Linked DNA regions of Diceros bicornis minor. The protein of the gene in region 1 purifies or fractionates together with the protein of each later gene. This does not show direct contact. Links are inferred from orthologs where the notes say so. Each region holds a gene or a part of one and is shown on either strand. Other genes may lie near its edges.

What was found. Proteins that work in one complex are often made in the same cells at the same time.
Region 2: the proteins of HAUS5 (region 1) and HAUS2 purify together in Homo sapiens (affinity purification with mass spectrometry; 5 studies listed by BioGRID and IntAct, with this or other methods). This does not show direct contact. The link is inferred for Diceros bicornis minor from reciprocal best matches to the Homo sapiens genes HAUS5 and HAUS2.

The regions. Positions count from the first base shown.
Region 1 is NC_080773.1:8,947,242-8,954,634, reverse strand, and holds the start of HAUS5 (HAUS augmin-like complex subunit 5), read left to right. Parts: upstream 1-4,291; 5' UTR 4,292-4,323; coding exon 4,324-4,421; intron 4,422-5,140; coding exon 5,141-5,203; intron 5,204-5,294; coding exon 5,295-5,327; intron 5,328-5,460; coding exon 5,461-5,485; intron 5,486-6,092; coding exon 6,093-6,198; intron 6,199-6,277; coding exon 6,278-6,437; intron 6,438-7,019; coding exon 7,020-7,122; intron 7,123-7,216; coding exon 7,217-7,299; intron 7,300-7,393.
Region 2 is NC_080744.1:40,120,512-40,128,209, reverse strand, and holds the start of HAUS2 (HAUS augmin-like complex subunit 2), read right to left. Parts: upstream 3,337-7,698; 5' UTR 3,306-3,336; coding exon 3,213-3,305; intron 1-3,212. Other genes in the region: LRRC57 (leucine-rich repeat-containing protein 57), read left to right, coding at 3,727-3,810, 3,917-4,055, 4,639-4,907, 7,032-7,217, 7,653-7,694.

The sequences.
Region 1 (7,393 bases):
TTCCCTTCTTCCCTCCCTCCATCCTTGGAAGAAACCACTGAATTCATGTTGCTGTGAGTCAATCCTCAAAGTATTTTGCACTTTTACTCATTATGTGCGGGTACGCTTGATGATGCAGTTGCTGTTTCGGGTGTGTAGGAGTCCTTAGTAACTTCTGACAAGTCTCTCCAGCTCTTCACCTGCCAGACCTCACCTTCTGCTTTCTCAGTTGGCCCAGCTGATGCTTCAGTTCACATGGTCATAAAAATGCCAATTTTTATGAGGAAATTAGAGACAGGATGGTCTGAGATGTGCCAGATATTGATCACAAATTTTGAAAGTGTATATCCAAGAAGCAAAGGATAAGGATCCATCTCTGGGTATTGATGGTAATAAAGAAGGTTCCATCCCCCAAAAGTAGTGTCCTATAGACTGTACTTCTTAAACTTCAATGTGCACCCAAATCACTGACAGATTTTGTCAAAATGCAGGTTTTGTAAGTCCGGGGTTGAGGAGCAAGGGATTCTCCATTGCTAACAAGCCCCTGAGGGATGCTGTGGATATTGGTCCCTGAAAACCTTGCTAGCGGCAAATTACAGGCATTAATGTGGAAGCTTGAGGTTTATCAAACAGGGATTAGGAGAGGAACACAGGGTGTCCATCTCAGTAACGAAAATCATTTTGCCCCAAGTATGTTGAACAGACTGAACACAGTGCAAGTACAAACATGACATGTTTCTTCTCCTGTGAGTAATGTGCCAATATCACCTTTTTGCATCAGCCTTTTGGGGGGTGGAGAAGAAGACACCCCTCCTCTCATGGGGGAGAGGGGGAGGGAAAGCTACTGCAGCTTCTTCCATGAACAACAGCTTGATGTCACAGTGATTTCTCAGACGTCAAGAGTTTCTGCTTACAGAGGGTATCCAGGTTCAGAGAGGGTGAACCACTAGTGGAGATATAATAGATAGATAGATAGATAGATAGATAGATAGATAGATAGTTGATAGATGAGATAGATAGACAGATAGATGAGAGAGATAATAGGGATTTGACCTCATGCAATTTGTAGAGTTGTTAAGCGGTCCCTAAGGTTGTTGTCTTAGTGTCTGATGCTGGCACTCAAAGTGCACAGAGCAGGCAGTTAGGAAGGGGAGACAGGCGTAGAGCGGGGGAAAGCTAGGACAAGCTGGAACGAGTTTGCCTCTGACCTTGGTGGTACGAGTGTCCACGGAAGCTGGCACTCTTCATCATGGAGCTAAACACACACCTGGCCCAGGAGTTAGAGAAGCTGAAGGAAGATCCAGGAGAAGGTGGCACGAGCGCTGGCCTGGTTGCTGCCCTATGCAAACACAGTGAGTCAGCGCCAGCCAGCAACAACCTGCGTGATCTACCAAATGGCAGCTGCTTCACTTCTGCCCTCCCAATCTTGCCCAAGAATCTCTTTTGTCCCATCCTGACTGAATATACAGCGAAGGAAATTCTAGGATATAGTTCATTCAGCCTAGTCAAGCTGACACATTACAAAGTCACCTCAGAGAGACTGGAGGAGAGTGGTGAGAAGACGGTTAGCGGCTGCTAGGAAGATGGTCACATGACCAGCTCTGCTCTCTCTTAGGCATCTTGAGAGGATGTGTCTAATAACCCCCGAGTGGCTTTTTTTAGAGTTAGGGGGCAAACCACCGGTAGTTATGTCTTATTTGGGCTTAACTTTTCTTCCAAAGCATACAGAATTCTCTTATTTTTGTATGTAATTATACAGCTTGAGTCAAGTTGCATCTGATTAGTCATCACTAAGGTTATAGATCTTTCATTAAATATTGCAGCTTTCAGGCAATACTTTTTTTAATAGACTTTATTTTTTGTGGGCAGTTTTATGCTTACAGAAAATTGCACAAAAAGTAAAGAAAGTTCTCACATACCTTTTCTCCCTCCACACACGTTTTCCCCTATTATTACCATCTTGCAGGAGTATGGGACATTTGTTACAATTGATGACATTGAAACATTGTTACTAACTAGAATCCATAAGTTACATTAGGGCTCACTCTGTGTTGTACCCCTCGACGGTTTTTTTTACAAACGCATAAGGTGATGTATCCACCATGACAATATCATACAAAATAGTTTCACTCCTCCTAAAAATGCCCTGTGCTTCATCTTTTCATCCCTAACCCCCATCCCATGATCCCCCAGCAACCACTCATCTTTTTACTGTTCTCCATAGTTTTGCCTTTTCCAGAATGCCATATAGTGGAATCATACAGTATATCACCTTTCCGATTGTCTTCCAAAGTGGCTGTATAATTTTGCATTCCCACCAGCAATGAACGAGAGTTCCTGTTGCTCCACATCCTCAACAGTATTTGGTGGTGTCATTGTTTTGGATTTTAGACATTCTAATAGGTGTGTAGAGGTATCCCATGGTTGTTTTAATTTGCAATTCCCTGATGACATATGATGTTGAGCAACTTTTCATATGCCTATTTGCCATCTGTACATCTTCTTTGGTGAGACATCTGTTCATAAGTTTTGTCCTTTTTTTAACGGGATTATTTGTTTTCTTCTGGTTGACTTTTAAGAGTTCTTTGTATATTTGGGATACAAGTCCCTCATCATATATGTTTTGCAAATATTTTCCCCCAGCCTGTGACTTGTGTTTTCATTCTCTTAACAGCCAATACTTTTTAAAGCCCCTTGAAAAGCTCATAGACCCATGGCACACATACTGTCTAATTGATTTTTTTTAATAGCAAAACACCCCACAAACAGTGGAAGAGTGGAGATGTTTGAAAGAAACATCAGCTGTTGAGAAATCAAGCATCGTGAAGTAGCAGCTGCTAACCTTTCTTCCGGGAAGCCCAACTGGATTACAACCTGGCACCCTCTTCTGCTTCTCATTTTTTTGGGGTTTTTTTGTTTTTTTTTTTAATTTTATTTATTTATTTCCCCAAAGCCGCAGTAAATAGTCGTATGTCATAGCTGCACATCCTTCTAGTTGCTGCATGTGGGACGCGGCCTCAGCATGGCCCGAGAAGCGGTGCGTCGGTGCGCGCCTGGGATCGGAACCCGGCAGCCAGGAGCGGAGCGCGTGCACTTAACCACTAAGCCAGGGGGCCGGCCCTGCTTCTCAGTTTGTATGAAGCATTTGAAACTGCACTCAGCTTCTCCCCCAAATCTGCTATCTCAGTGGTGATCCCATGATCCCCTTGGATATCCCCTTGGCTCCTCATACCCATCGAGTCCCACATTGTTATCAGCATCTCCCCCAAAGCTGCCCCTTCTCTCATGTCCCCATTTCAAAGTCTGCTCCACCTAATCCCCAGCCCAGAGCCCTGGACCTCACCCTGGATGCCCCACCCACCCCGTACAGCCAAGTACAGCCAATAGACCTCATGACCCATCCACTCAGTCTCCCCCTCTCTGCTCCACAGCCATAAGCACTGCCCTCACCCCCACTCCTTATCCCGTTCCACCCTCCTCCCTGGGTTCCTAACTTTAGTCTCACCCCACCACCTTTCCTCCCATTTGTTTATTCAACAACTATTTAGAGAGTCTGGCTCTGTAGTGGACACTGAGGACAGACTGGTGACCTAGGCAAGCATGTTGCATGAAAAGTCACTGAATGTTGCCATTTCTCAGGGCCCTGTCTGAGGCCGAGTGGGCTCTCCGGAACTCCAGCCCCAGCATCCAGTGCTTTCTGGGGCACCCCACAGACCTCTCACACTCCCTGTGTCCCAAATTGACCCACCCCTCCTGCTTATTTTCTACCATTCCTACCTGGTGATGCGTCCGTGTCCCCCACTGAACCGTGAGCACCGTAGCATGGAGACTGGGGCTGTCTCAGCCCCCCGTGGTGTCCCCAGCACAGGGTTGGCTCTTGAAGGTTATGGTATGGTATGGACAAGAAAGCACGCCAGGGAGATATTAGGGTCATGCTATCTGCCCTCTATCCCTCACTCAGATCTGAGAGACGCTGTTTCTGAAATCAAAGAGCAGTAAGGTTGGCATCTCCTCGCCTGGTTCTCATCCTCCTAGGATGGAAGTCCCATTTTGTCAAGAAAATCAAGGGAGGCATTGGGGACCTTTTGCCTCTGAGGGAACAGCTGGTGTGAGTGTGAGGACGCGGAAAGCAAGCGGGGCCCACCGTTTCTCCACTCCCCTTTCATCTTCGCTCAATGGGATCCACCCTGGAGGAGCGAGACAGCAGGACAGCTCCGAGACCCGGCAAACCAAGAGGCGCCCGTCTGCCTGGCAACCGACGACGTCACTGTCGGCGCCCTCGTGGCGTCATAGGCAGGCGCCACGCTTGAAGAGGGCGCGGGAGGCGGCGGCCGCGGCGCTGTCATGGAGTTAGCGCAGGAAGCGCGGGAATTGGGTTGCTGGGCGGCCGAAGAGATGGAGGCGCCCGTGGGGGCCCGGGCCTCGGAGGCGACGCTGCGCAGGTGAGGGTCCTGGAAGCGAGGACTGCCCGCCCTGGAGGTAGAGTCTCCGGGAGAGAGAACCCCATCTTCACTGGAGACGGGCCCATCCCCCTCCCACTGCGCCGCGGTGAGAATAACCCCAGAGGGCGCCCCCCACCCCGGAGTAGTACATCCAGGAAGAGGATCCCGGGTTTGAGTTAGGACGCCCTGGCGGTGACCTCCACACTGCCACCCCCACCTGCGAGGCCGCCCAGAGTGAGGTCCCTGGCACCAGGGAGGATCCTCCATGAGTTAATGGAGCCCCCTTCTCGTGTGGAAATAGGATCTCCAGGGTAAGGCTGTCCCTGCAGCACCTCACCACCGACCCCCCACTCCAGCCCAGCCAAGACCATCCCATTGGAGCCTGAATCCATAGCAGTGGTAACCCGCATCTGGTAACAAGAGAGCACTTCCTGGCAGTACACTCCCACCCCCACCTCTGGAAGTAACTGGAGATAACCCTCTCCCAGGAGAAAGGGAGCACCCCACCAGGGAATGAGAATACCCCCACACCCAGTGAGAAACCCACCCTCTCGGACTGAGAAGTCCCCAGAAAGGAATATCCTACCCCAAAAAGTATGGGCCCTCCCTCCCCCCAGAAGTGAGAATTCCCTAGTAAAGACTTCCTCACCACCACCACCCTGGGAATGATGATCCTCCCCGCTGTGTGATGTACACACCCTTACACGCTGTCCCCACAGGCTGTGTCTGGGCCAGGGGGCCGACATCTGGGCCTACGTCTTGCGGCATGTGCACAGCCAGAGGTGAGCCTGGCTGCATGAGGGAGGCTGTGGCAGGGGAGGGGACACAGGCAAGGCCCCAGTAACTCCTCTTCATCCTACCTCTCCACTGTAGGAGTGTGAAGAAGATCCGGGGAAACCTCCTCTGGTAACTGGTCCTCAAAGCTATCCCTTCCTCTCTTCCCTGGTCCCATCTAACCATGTCCCCACCCACAGCGTCACACCTCCCATCTCCCTCTGGAATTCCCTGTCTGCCCCTAACTCTGGCCTCATTTCCTCAGGTATGGCCACCAGGACAGTCCAGAGGTGAGAAGCATGTGCTACACGATTTTTTTCATCCAAAAAAAGGATGTGTAGACCTTCTGCTCTAGGCCCAGCCTTGTGCTGGGTGATGCTGGGGACACTGTGTCACAGGCCCTGATCCCTGCACTCACGGGGCTTACAGTCCAGGGGGAGACAGGCATGAGCTGGGGGTTGGGGGGACATGGACATGAGGCATCAAAGCTGGTGAGGGGAGATGGGAGGAGGGACTGGTTTTAGAGAGGTACTGAGGCCAGTGTGGGACCCAGTATATGCAAGGGGCCCAGGTGATATCTAGGAGGATGCTTCCAGGAGACCTCAGGACTCCAAGATGTGGGACTCGGTGGGGAGCTGAGGACTGGGACAGAGACGGAGTGCCATCAGCGCAGAGACAGGAAGGGAGGGTAGGTGAAGGCAGTCCCAGGAGGATGGAGGAGGCCAGGATAGCACCCTAGAGCTTTCTGGGCCTAGAGGTTCAGACACAGAAACTGCTTAGGAAAAACTCCTGCCACCCACCTGGGCAGGTGAGGAGACCGGTTCTGCACAAAGAGCAGTCAGGCCAGGCTGAGCCCCAGCCAGGCCACACATCTGACCCTGAGTCTGATCCCACCAGGCCCGTCGGAAGCTGGAGCTGGAAGCTGCTGTTGCCCGCCTGCGGGCAGAAATCCTGGAGTTAGACCAGAGCCTGGAGCTGACAGAGCGAGAGACCGAGGCTCAGGGTGACCCATGGGGGCTGGGCAGATGGGCAGCAGAACGGGGGTAGGGGAAATGCTGATGGCCAACCCGTTTCTCCCACAGACATAGCCATGGAGCAGGCCCTGCAGAGCATGCAAGACACCCAGCGCCGTGCTCTCCTCCTCCGGGCGCAAGCCAGGGCCATGCGAAGACAGCAGCGTGGGCTCCAGGATCCCGTACAGCGGCTGCAGAATCAGCTCAGGCGCTTGCAGGACACAGAGAGGTGGGCCTCAGGTGCCCAGGGACCAGCTGGCACCAGGCTTGGAGGACAGACGTTCTCCTCGGAGACCCCGGGGCTCTGCCTTGACCCCTTCTTGGGCTCCAGAATTCTGAGCTGCACTCCTTAGGATTTAAAGTCCGTGAGGCCAGGAAATTTTGTCATCTCAGCCACCTGTATCCAGTGCCTAGAATGGTGCAGACTATATAGAATGCCAGTGTGGGGGAAAGTATCGAGGTGGGTATGTTAATTGAGGTGAATCCTGCAAAGTGCTTAGAAGAGTTCCTAATATCCATCGTTATTATTCTGAATGTGATGGGAACATAGCACGTTGTTTTCGAGGGTTTTGAGCAGAACACTGACATGGTCAGTCTGAGGTTCTAACAGGATCATTGACTACTGAGTGGAGAAAAGACTGCAGAGGGCGAGAGCAGAGAGAGCAGTGAGGAGGCTAATGCAGTCGTCCAGCCAGGAGATGACAATGGCCTAATTTTGGAGGTGGCCCCTGAGATCCAGGCTTGGTGATCCCTGTGACTAGCTTTGCTGGCAGCAGGAGGGGACACAGCTCTCCCAACTCCCTCCTCCCAGGGACCCCAGCCCCAACTGCACTCCTCTCTCCAGGAAGGCCAAAATGAATATAACCTTTGGACCCTTGACATCAGCAGCCCTGGGCCTAGAGCCTGTGGTCCTGGTAAGAGCCCTGGGCCATGAGGGAAGGAGTGGGGAATCTGGGGTCAAGTGGACCCCTGGGTCTCCCTCACGCTCCATCATCCTCTTCTTCCCAGAGTGATGTCCGAACAGCCTGCACTCTCCGGACCCAGTTCCTGCAGAACCTCCTGACTCCTCAGGCCAAGGGAGGCAGCATCCTGTGAGTGTCCCCCAGCCCCCAGAGACCCTGCAAAGAACCGGGGCTCTGGGGAGAGTTACTTGTCTATTAATTCCTCAGACACTGAGCCTCTGGG
Region 2 (7,698 bases), on another chromosome or scaffold:
CTAGTGGAGAGATGGACTGGAGGTTGGATATTTAGCCAGGTGGCTGCTACAGCATTCCAGGTGGGAAAATGAGCATGTGGACTAGGTCAGCAGCAATTAAAATGGAAGGAAGGCAGAGATATGAGTGCCTGGAAAGATGGAACTGATAAGTCCTAGCTGATATGAGGAGTGAGAGAAAAAGTCAAGTCAATACTGACTCCAAAGAGCCTCCTTTAGGTGACTGGACAGATAATTATGCCATCTGTTGAGGTAGATAACACAAGTTATTTTACCGATGGCAAAATTGAGGATTGGGGAGGTTAAGTATTAGTTCCACTTCACACTGCCAATGTGTATCAGGACAGAAATGAGAACACATCTAATCCACTGCATTTCCATCATATCAGCCTGATTCTTTTCTTTCTGCTCTCTCTTAGGTAGAAGGTAAATGAAAGTAAAACATCTTTCATTTCTCGTTGTAACCTACTCACTCTCTGGTATCTCTCCATTCCTCCATGTGTGTACACTAATCTTAGCTGCACATTTGCAAACTAGTAAACTGTTGGGTTCAACAACAGAGTAATGGAGCTTAGCCAAGAACATGCAAGAGAAACCAGAGGGAAATTAACAATGTTCAAGAAGGGGAGAGCCAAAAGGAGAGAGGAAAGAAAGAGCAGCCAAATTCTTCTAGTAAATAGAAATTCTAACTATTTGAGGATTGTGACTTGGCCCTACACCTGTAAAAAAGAAAAAAAAGCAAGGATTGGAGAACACAGAAAAGTCTTCACCATTGACTACTGCCATTATACATTATATATTTTACATGCCACTGGGGCAAAGGGACCCTGAAAATGAACGGATCCTGAGAAAAGGTTCTGTTTATTCTTTTGCTAGGCAAAAGAAGCTAAAATCCAAGACCTCTATGCTTAATATAAAAATCCTAATAATACTGTGTATTTAATATACACATGTATAAACTTGTATCTGTGGGCACCCTCTTTTCTTTTTTCTGTCCTTTCTTTTTCATACTGAATTCTAGCTGGGTGACAATAAAAGGGAGGCAGTATGGCAGAGAAATTAAGAGCAGAGGCTCTAAAATGGGGGAGGGCAGAGCACAGATAGAGAAAACAGTAATTATACATTTTTTATATATATATATAATGTGTGTGTGTGTATATATATAGTATGTGTATATACATATTAGAAAATAGTAAATTCTGAGTTTTTTTGTAGGTCCAGATCCTTATCTTACGCATCGCCAGTATAGGGAGCTTTGATCAAGAGGTCATGACTCATTCAGGCTTGCTGGGAAAATATCTCGGATGTAAGGCCACTAAAACAGTATTAGGGCATAAACAAAAGCAAATACCCTATATTATCCTACAGAGAGTTAATCCTACCTTTCTCTCACTAAATCCTTCTCCAACAGATAGATCAAAACAGAACAAAGCTCAAACAAGCTATGTTTTCTAGAAGAGTTGTACCGTATCACAATTTTAAGCATCACTCAATAGTTAATGCACATGGGATGATGTCCCCTTAAGTCCATCCTTAAGGGATGGACTGTTTAAAGGGATCATATAATACATCATTTTGAAAGAATCAATGCTAAATCCTTCTAATAAAAAAATAGGTTTTCATATGTATAGTTTACTTAAAGTAAAATCCTGCTACAAATCTGTAAAGTTTTCTCTTTGGGACTAGCTGTGCAATAAGACTGTAAGACAGTCTTAAGGAGCTGTGGATTGGCAGAACTTACCTGTTTGCAAAATAGGTAACTGTGTGATTAGTGTTACTTGAAGGACACTAGGAAGATTCTCCCAAAAACAACTACCACCCTACCAAACAGCTCACCCATCAATGGTTGATGGAAGTCTCTCACCAGACTTCATTCTTCCGTTTAGGTGTTCATACATCCTACCAACACTCTAAAGGGATAAGTCCCAAATGAGTTACAGTGTGAGTTACCAAATTACTTTGTTACAGAACTGGACAGTACAAGTGAGCACCGGGCAACTTGGTAGGAAGAAAACACTGGAGAGAAGTGAGGAAGGTGAAAACTGGGGAGTGCTGTCGTTTTGTTTTGCCTATTTACCAATGCATTCATTACTACCTTTTGTTTGCCCCCAAATCCATAAGGTCTGGTTACTAGGTCTTCAAGTAATCTAGAAGAGTTCTTCAACAGAAATTTACATTCTTTCAAGATAGTGTCACAGTATCATCTATCACAGTTCCTCTTAGAGATGATACAATGCGTCAGAAAAGGAGAACTCTGGGATCTAATTCTATTTCACTAAGCTGAGTGACGTTGGGCAAGGGTCTTGGTCTCCTAAGGCCTTCGTTTCTTCATCTTAAAAATAATGTTGGGTAGCAGAATTCTCTAATGACTCTTCTAAGTATAAAAAATTGTGTATTTTCCATAAATCTTCCATCATGTTCACACTGCTAATCTCTGCAGATGATTTCAACTTTCTACTTTTCTGTTTTTTTAGTGAAATTCCTTGACTTCCTCTTTATCTCAAAATTTCTTTCCTTCAATGCCACTTTCCCCACTCCCTTGTCACTTCTGCCACTTGTATTCCGTTCTCTCACATCTCCAATTTCTCCCTCTATTGGCTCCTTCCCTTTGGCTATGAACATGCTCTTCTTGCCCAACCTAAAACTACCACCCCTTGGGCTAATCTTCCTCTTCTCCCCTTCTCAAAATTCATCCCTTCCTCCACGGACGGTCCAAGGTCTTTCGGGTCTTCTTCGCCAATACGTTTTTTTTTTTTTTGCCTTTAAAGATGAGTGCTTCCCCTGGCGTTCTCCCATACCCTGCGCCTCCCTCCCCAAATATGCTTCAATACTTCACACAAACGAACGTTTGGGAACTAATGTTTAACTATTTAGCATATTTTCCAACCCTGCCACCGATTACAATCTAGAGGCGGTTTCACTGGATGAAAAAAAGCGGCGGAACACCGGTTTTTATTATCTCGAGACCACGAGCTGACCTGGGATAACTCGCCGGCAGACACTTGAAACACCATCTACTCAGAGCCCCGCTTCCGCAGAACCTACTGCAGAACAGTCACTGCTGCTGTCTGGAAGGGGCTCCATTTGTCTCTACTCTAGTACCGCCCCCTGCCAGCACCCTCACACCCACTCCCGCAGCCAGTACCACCACCTCACAGCCATCTTCTGTCGCCACCGTGAGCATTCCCTTAATGACGTCATTGCCGCCCACGCACCTGAGTGACCATCCCTGAAGCTACGAAATGGTCCAGGAGTAGGCCGGCAGCGTTTGGCGCCGACGCCGGGTCCCAGGGGTTCCCCGCAGCCATGACTGGGACCCACCTCCCCGCGCGGTGCCGAGAGTGAGTGCAACGCAAGGCGAACGCGCCGCGCGGCTCGATGACGTCACGGGGCGTTACCGCCCGGGCGGAAGCCCGCGGAGCGCGGTTCCCGGGTCTACCGCTGTGAGCTGAAGGGTAGGCGGCGAGTCCGGGGCTCCCTGATTCTCCGTAGGCTCCTAGCGGCTTATAGTCTCAGAGCAGCTGCAAAAGCGGCAGAGCCTGGTGGTCAGGCTGTCTGTTCTTCCCTTTCTTCCTTGCCGCTCTTGGGCTGGCCTGCAAGATCCAGGATCGGCGGGAGGTGACAGCTGGGGTGTGAGACCAGGAGGCCAGCGGGGCGGCTTGGGGGGGCCTGGACCGAGCGGTGACAGCTGCGCTTCCTTCCCTCAGGGACTTGAGCCGCGGCGCTAGGATGGGAAACAGTGCCCTCCGCGCTCATGTGGAAACGGCGCAGAAAACCGGTGTCTTTCAGCTTAAGGACCGTGGGCTAACCGAGGTGAGACTGGGAGGGACCCGACCAGGGAATTTAGAGGGAGAGGGACGGCGGGGGCGGTGAAATTAATCGGTGAGGGATTCTTTGCGCTGTGAACCCCTTTCTCCAGTTCCCCTTAGAGTTGCAGAAGCTGACGAGCAATCTCAGGACCATCGACTTGTCCAACAACAAGATTGAGAGCCTACCGCCTATGATTATAGGGAAGTTCACTCTGCTGAAGAGCCTCTCCTTGAACAACAACAAACTGAGTATGGCTTTTGCGCCTGGGAAGCTGTTGCTAGTGATCAGCTGTTAAGAAGGGTGGTTTTCTCTTACAAGCTGATTTTTGTTGTTGTTAATGAAACCGTTCAGAGAGCTCTAGACGCAGGAGAATGTCAGAGTCCTTGAAGTTTTCTGTCTCTTGTAATTATATCTGCAAGCCTCCTCTGGTGGTATAATGATTGGTACTGGGTTAATTTGGACTTGAAAGGGAAGGGACCATCTTTGGGATATTATGTAAACAGAGCTAATTTTGCTGCTAATTTGGAAGGGGGTATGGAATGGGGTGGGGAGGGCCTTCCAAATCCCACAAAATTACTGTCGGATTGTGCAGAGGCCCCTTTACAAAAGGAGCCCATATACACATAAATGCTTTCCTGTGTTTTGATGGCACTTTCACCTTCTGAAGACTATGTTTGGTAAAAATACAATACTTAAAAATGCCACAACATGTGGGAATTCTATGTGTATTAACAAGAGGTATAGCAGGCTGCCATACAGTTTTTATCAACTTCATCAAAGATATTTTTCACCTGTACCAGATTCAGGTTTTAAATTTTTTTTCTTTGCTAGCTGTTCTTCCTGATGAATTATGCAATCTGAAAAAACTAGAGATGCTAAGCCTAAACAACAATCACTTGAGAGAGCTGCCATCTACCTTTGGGCAACTGTCTGCCCTCAAGACCCTGAGCCTTTCTGGGAACCAGCTGCGAGCACTACCACCCCAACTTTGTAGCCTACAGCACCTGGATATGGTAGATCTCTCCAAGAACCAGATTCGGAGCATACCTGACATAGTGGGGGAGCTGCAGGTCATCGAACTCAACCTCAATCAGAACCAGGTCTAGAGCTTAAGGGACTTTTTTTCTACAGTGTATATGTAGGTTTACGGTCTCCTGAATAACCTGTTGTTCTCTAAACTGTAATCATGGAGCTGGGTATCAGAGGCTAGATGAGAGGTATATTCTATGGACTAGACTAATTTCAAAGCCCAAAGTGCCATGGAGTTGAGACACTGGGTATGTTTGTTGTGTAGTTGTTTTTTGGAGGGTGGGATGGGTAACAGGGTGAGATAATTTCAAAAGTTAAACTACTGTCTCAAAAATCTTGAAGAGTTCTTCAGATCCTCCTCAAATATGCCTCTAATCATCTAGCAAGGAGCTATGTCAGGAAGATAGAGTGGAAAAGAGGCTTAAATTCACAAGTTCTTAGAGTTGAATATCAGAGGTAATTCAGTTGTCCTTTTTTTGATATTTTTGTCAAGTGTGTGTCCTGCTTTTGCTGAAAAACTGCCAGTGATAGGCTGTCTGGAGATAGCCCATTTCATTGTTGTACAGCTTTGTGTCTGTTTTTTTGCTGAGGAGATTAGCCCTGAGCTATTACCTGTTGCCAGTCTTCCTCAGTTTTTTTTTTTTTTTGCTTGAGGAAGATTAGCCTTCAGCTAACGTCTGTGCAAATCTTTCTCTACTTTATATGTGGGTTGCCACCACAGCATGGCTGACGAGTGGTATAGGTCAGCGCCTAGGATCCAAACCTGGGCTGCCAAAGCAGAGTACACCAAACTTAACCGCTATGCCACAGGGCCCGCCCCTGTACGCTTTTAATTGTAATATTTGAAATTTGTTTCCATTTGGAAGCTCTTTGGTTAATGTGTATCTGACTGGAGAAACAACTGTTGGTGTAGATATAAAGCACAATTGATGAAACATTAAACATAGTGAGACTAGGTAGCCTTTAGTTTTTCTAGTGTCTGTGCTTCTAGATTTGCAGTCCAATAAAGTAGCCACTAGCCACATGTGGCTATTAAAATTCATTTAAATTAGATTTCAAAATTCAGTTCCTCAGTTGCCACTAGCCATATTTCAAGTGCTCAAAAGCCATATGTGGCTAGTGGCTACTATATTGGACAGCACAGATATAGCACATTCCAATCAAACTGCAAAAAGTTTGATTGGACAAAACTGTTCTAGCTTGTAGTGACCTTACATTATAATGAAATTCAGTCTGTCTTTGAGGAGATAGATGGGCCTCTTCTTTTCCTTAATAGGATATCCTTGAGCTTTTTAGAAAAAAATTATGTGGAAAAAAATTTTGGAAAAAAAGTTAAGCAACAATTAATTGAGCTCTCACTCCACATTCACCTATGCTGATGCCTTAATCAGTGGTTCTCAGATTCTAGTGTGCATCAGAATAACTGAGAGAGCTTGCTAAAAGAGATGACCGGGCCCCTACCCTCAGTGTTTCTAATTAAGTAGGTCTGTGGTGGGTTCTAGGAGTTAGCATTTCTAACAAGTTCCCAGTTGTTGGTCTGAGATGATACAGGCAGAGTAAATATAGTTTGGTGACTTGGAACATTTAAAGGGCAAAAGAGGTGAATGAGTCAAAGATAATTGCTTGGTATTAAGCTTGAGGGCCTAAAAGAAAAGTGGTGCTATTGAGAATGGACATGCTGAATTTATTATAATGGTGAATCATCCAAATGAAAATGTTTTGCTAAAAATTGGAGACATAGGAGTGAACAGACATGAATGTAGATACAGATTTTGAGGTCTTAACATAAGTGATAGGTTTAAGAATGGATGAGCTTTCTAGGCAAAAGTACCTAGATTGGCAATAAATGTACCAAAATGTTTATGGTGGCAGATTACAGGTAACTTTTTTCTTTAAACTTGTGTGATCCTCACATTTCCTATAATAAACAGTGCTATTATTATCAGAAAATGTTGTTTCCAAAAAAGTCACTGGTGACCTTCAGAAAGCAATTTTTTTTTTTCGAAAAAGTGGAGGAGTAGTAACAGAAGCTAGATCACAGAGGCTTCTGGAACGAGTAGGTAGTGAGAAAACGGAGGCGGTAAAAGGAGAACTAGGACAAATAGTCAAGTAAAAGTTTTTTGTTTTAATTTAGTAAAAAATAACCATTATAATTCTTATGCTTTTTCCTGTTATTCTTTTTTGTTGTTCAATAGATATCTCAGATCTCAGTAAAGATATCTTGCTGTCCTCGCCTTAAAGTTCTTCGCCTGGAAGAGAACTGCCTTGAGCTCAGCATGCTTCCACAGAGCATCCTCAGTGATTCCCAGATCTGTCTGCTTGCTGTGGAAGGCAACCTTTTTGAAATAAAGAAACTTCGAGAACTAGAAGGCTATGAGAAGGTATGTATTAGTGTACTTCTGCATTTCTAGTCACTGTTCCAGAGAAGACAACAGTGAAGTAACCCACATGAATGTTGATAGCTATAGGATGTATGTATAATCCTGTTTGTCAACAAGATTTATTCCCCATTTTGGAGGTGGGTTCTAAGAATCAGCCAATAGTATTGTGCCAAGATGACTTTTTCTCTTGACAATGTATTGTAAAGCATCTTCGTCTTTTGATAGGTTTCCTATTAAAATTTAAAAGAAAAAATTAAAAAACCCCAAAACGATGTGCTTCAAACCTGCATTTAAAATAGGTAGATTTTATAGGAAATGAAGGACCATTTCCAATAAAAACCTACATTAAAAAAATATAAAAAGCTAAGTAACAAATAGGCTAACATTTGTTTATGCCAAAATACCTCATATATATTCTTCTTTGATGATTTTTAGTACATGGAGAGGTTCACGGCCACCAAGAAGAAGTTTGCATGATGTT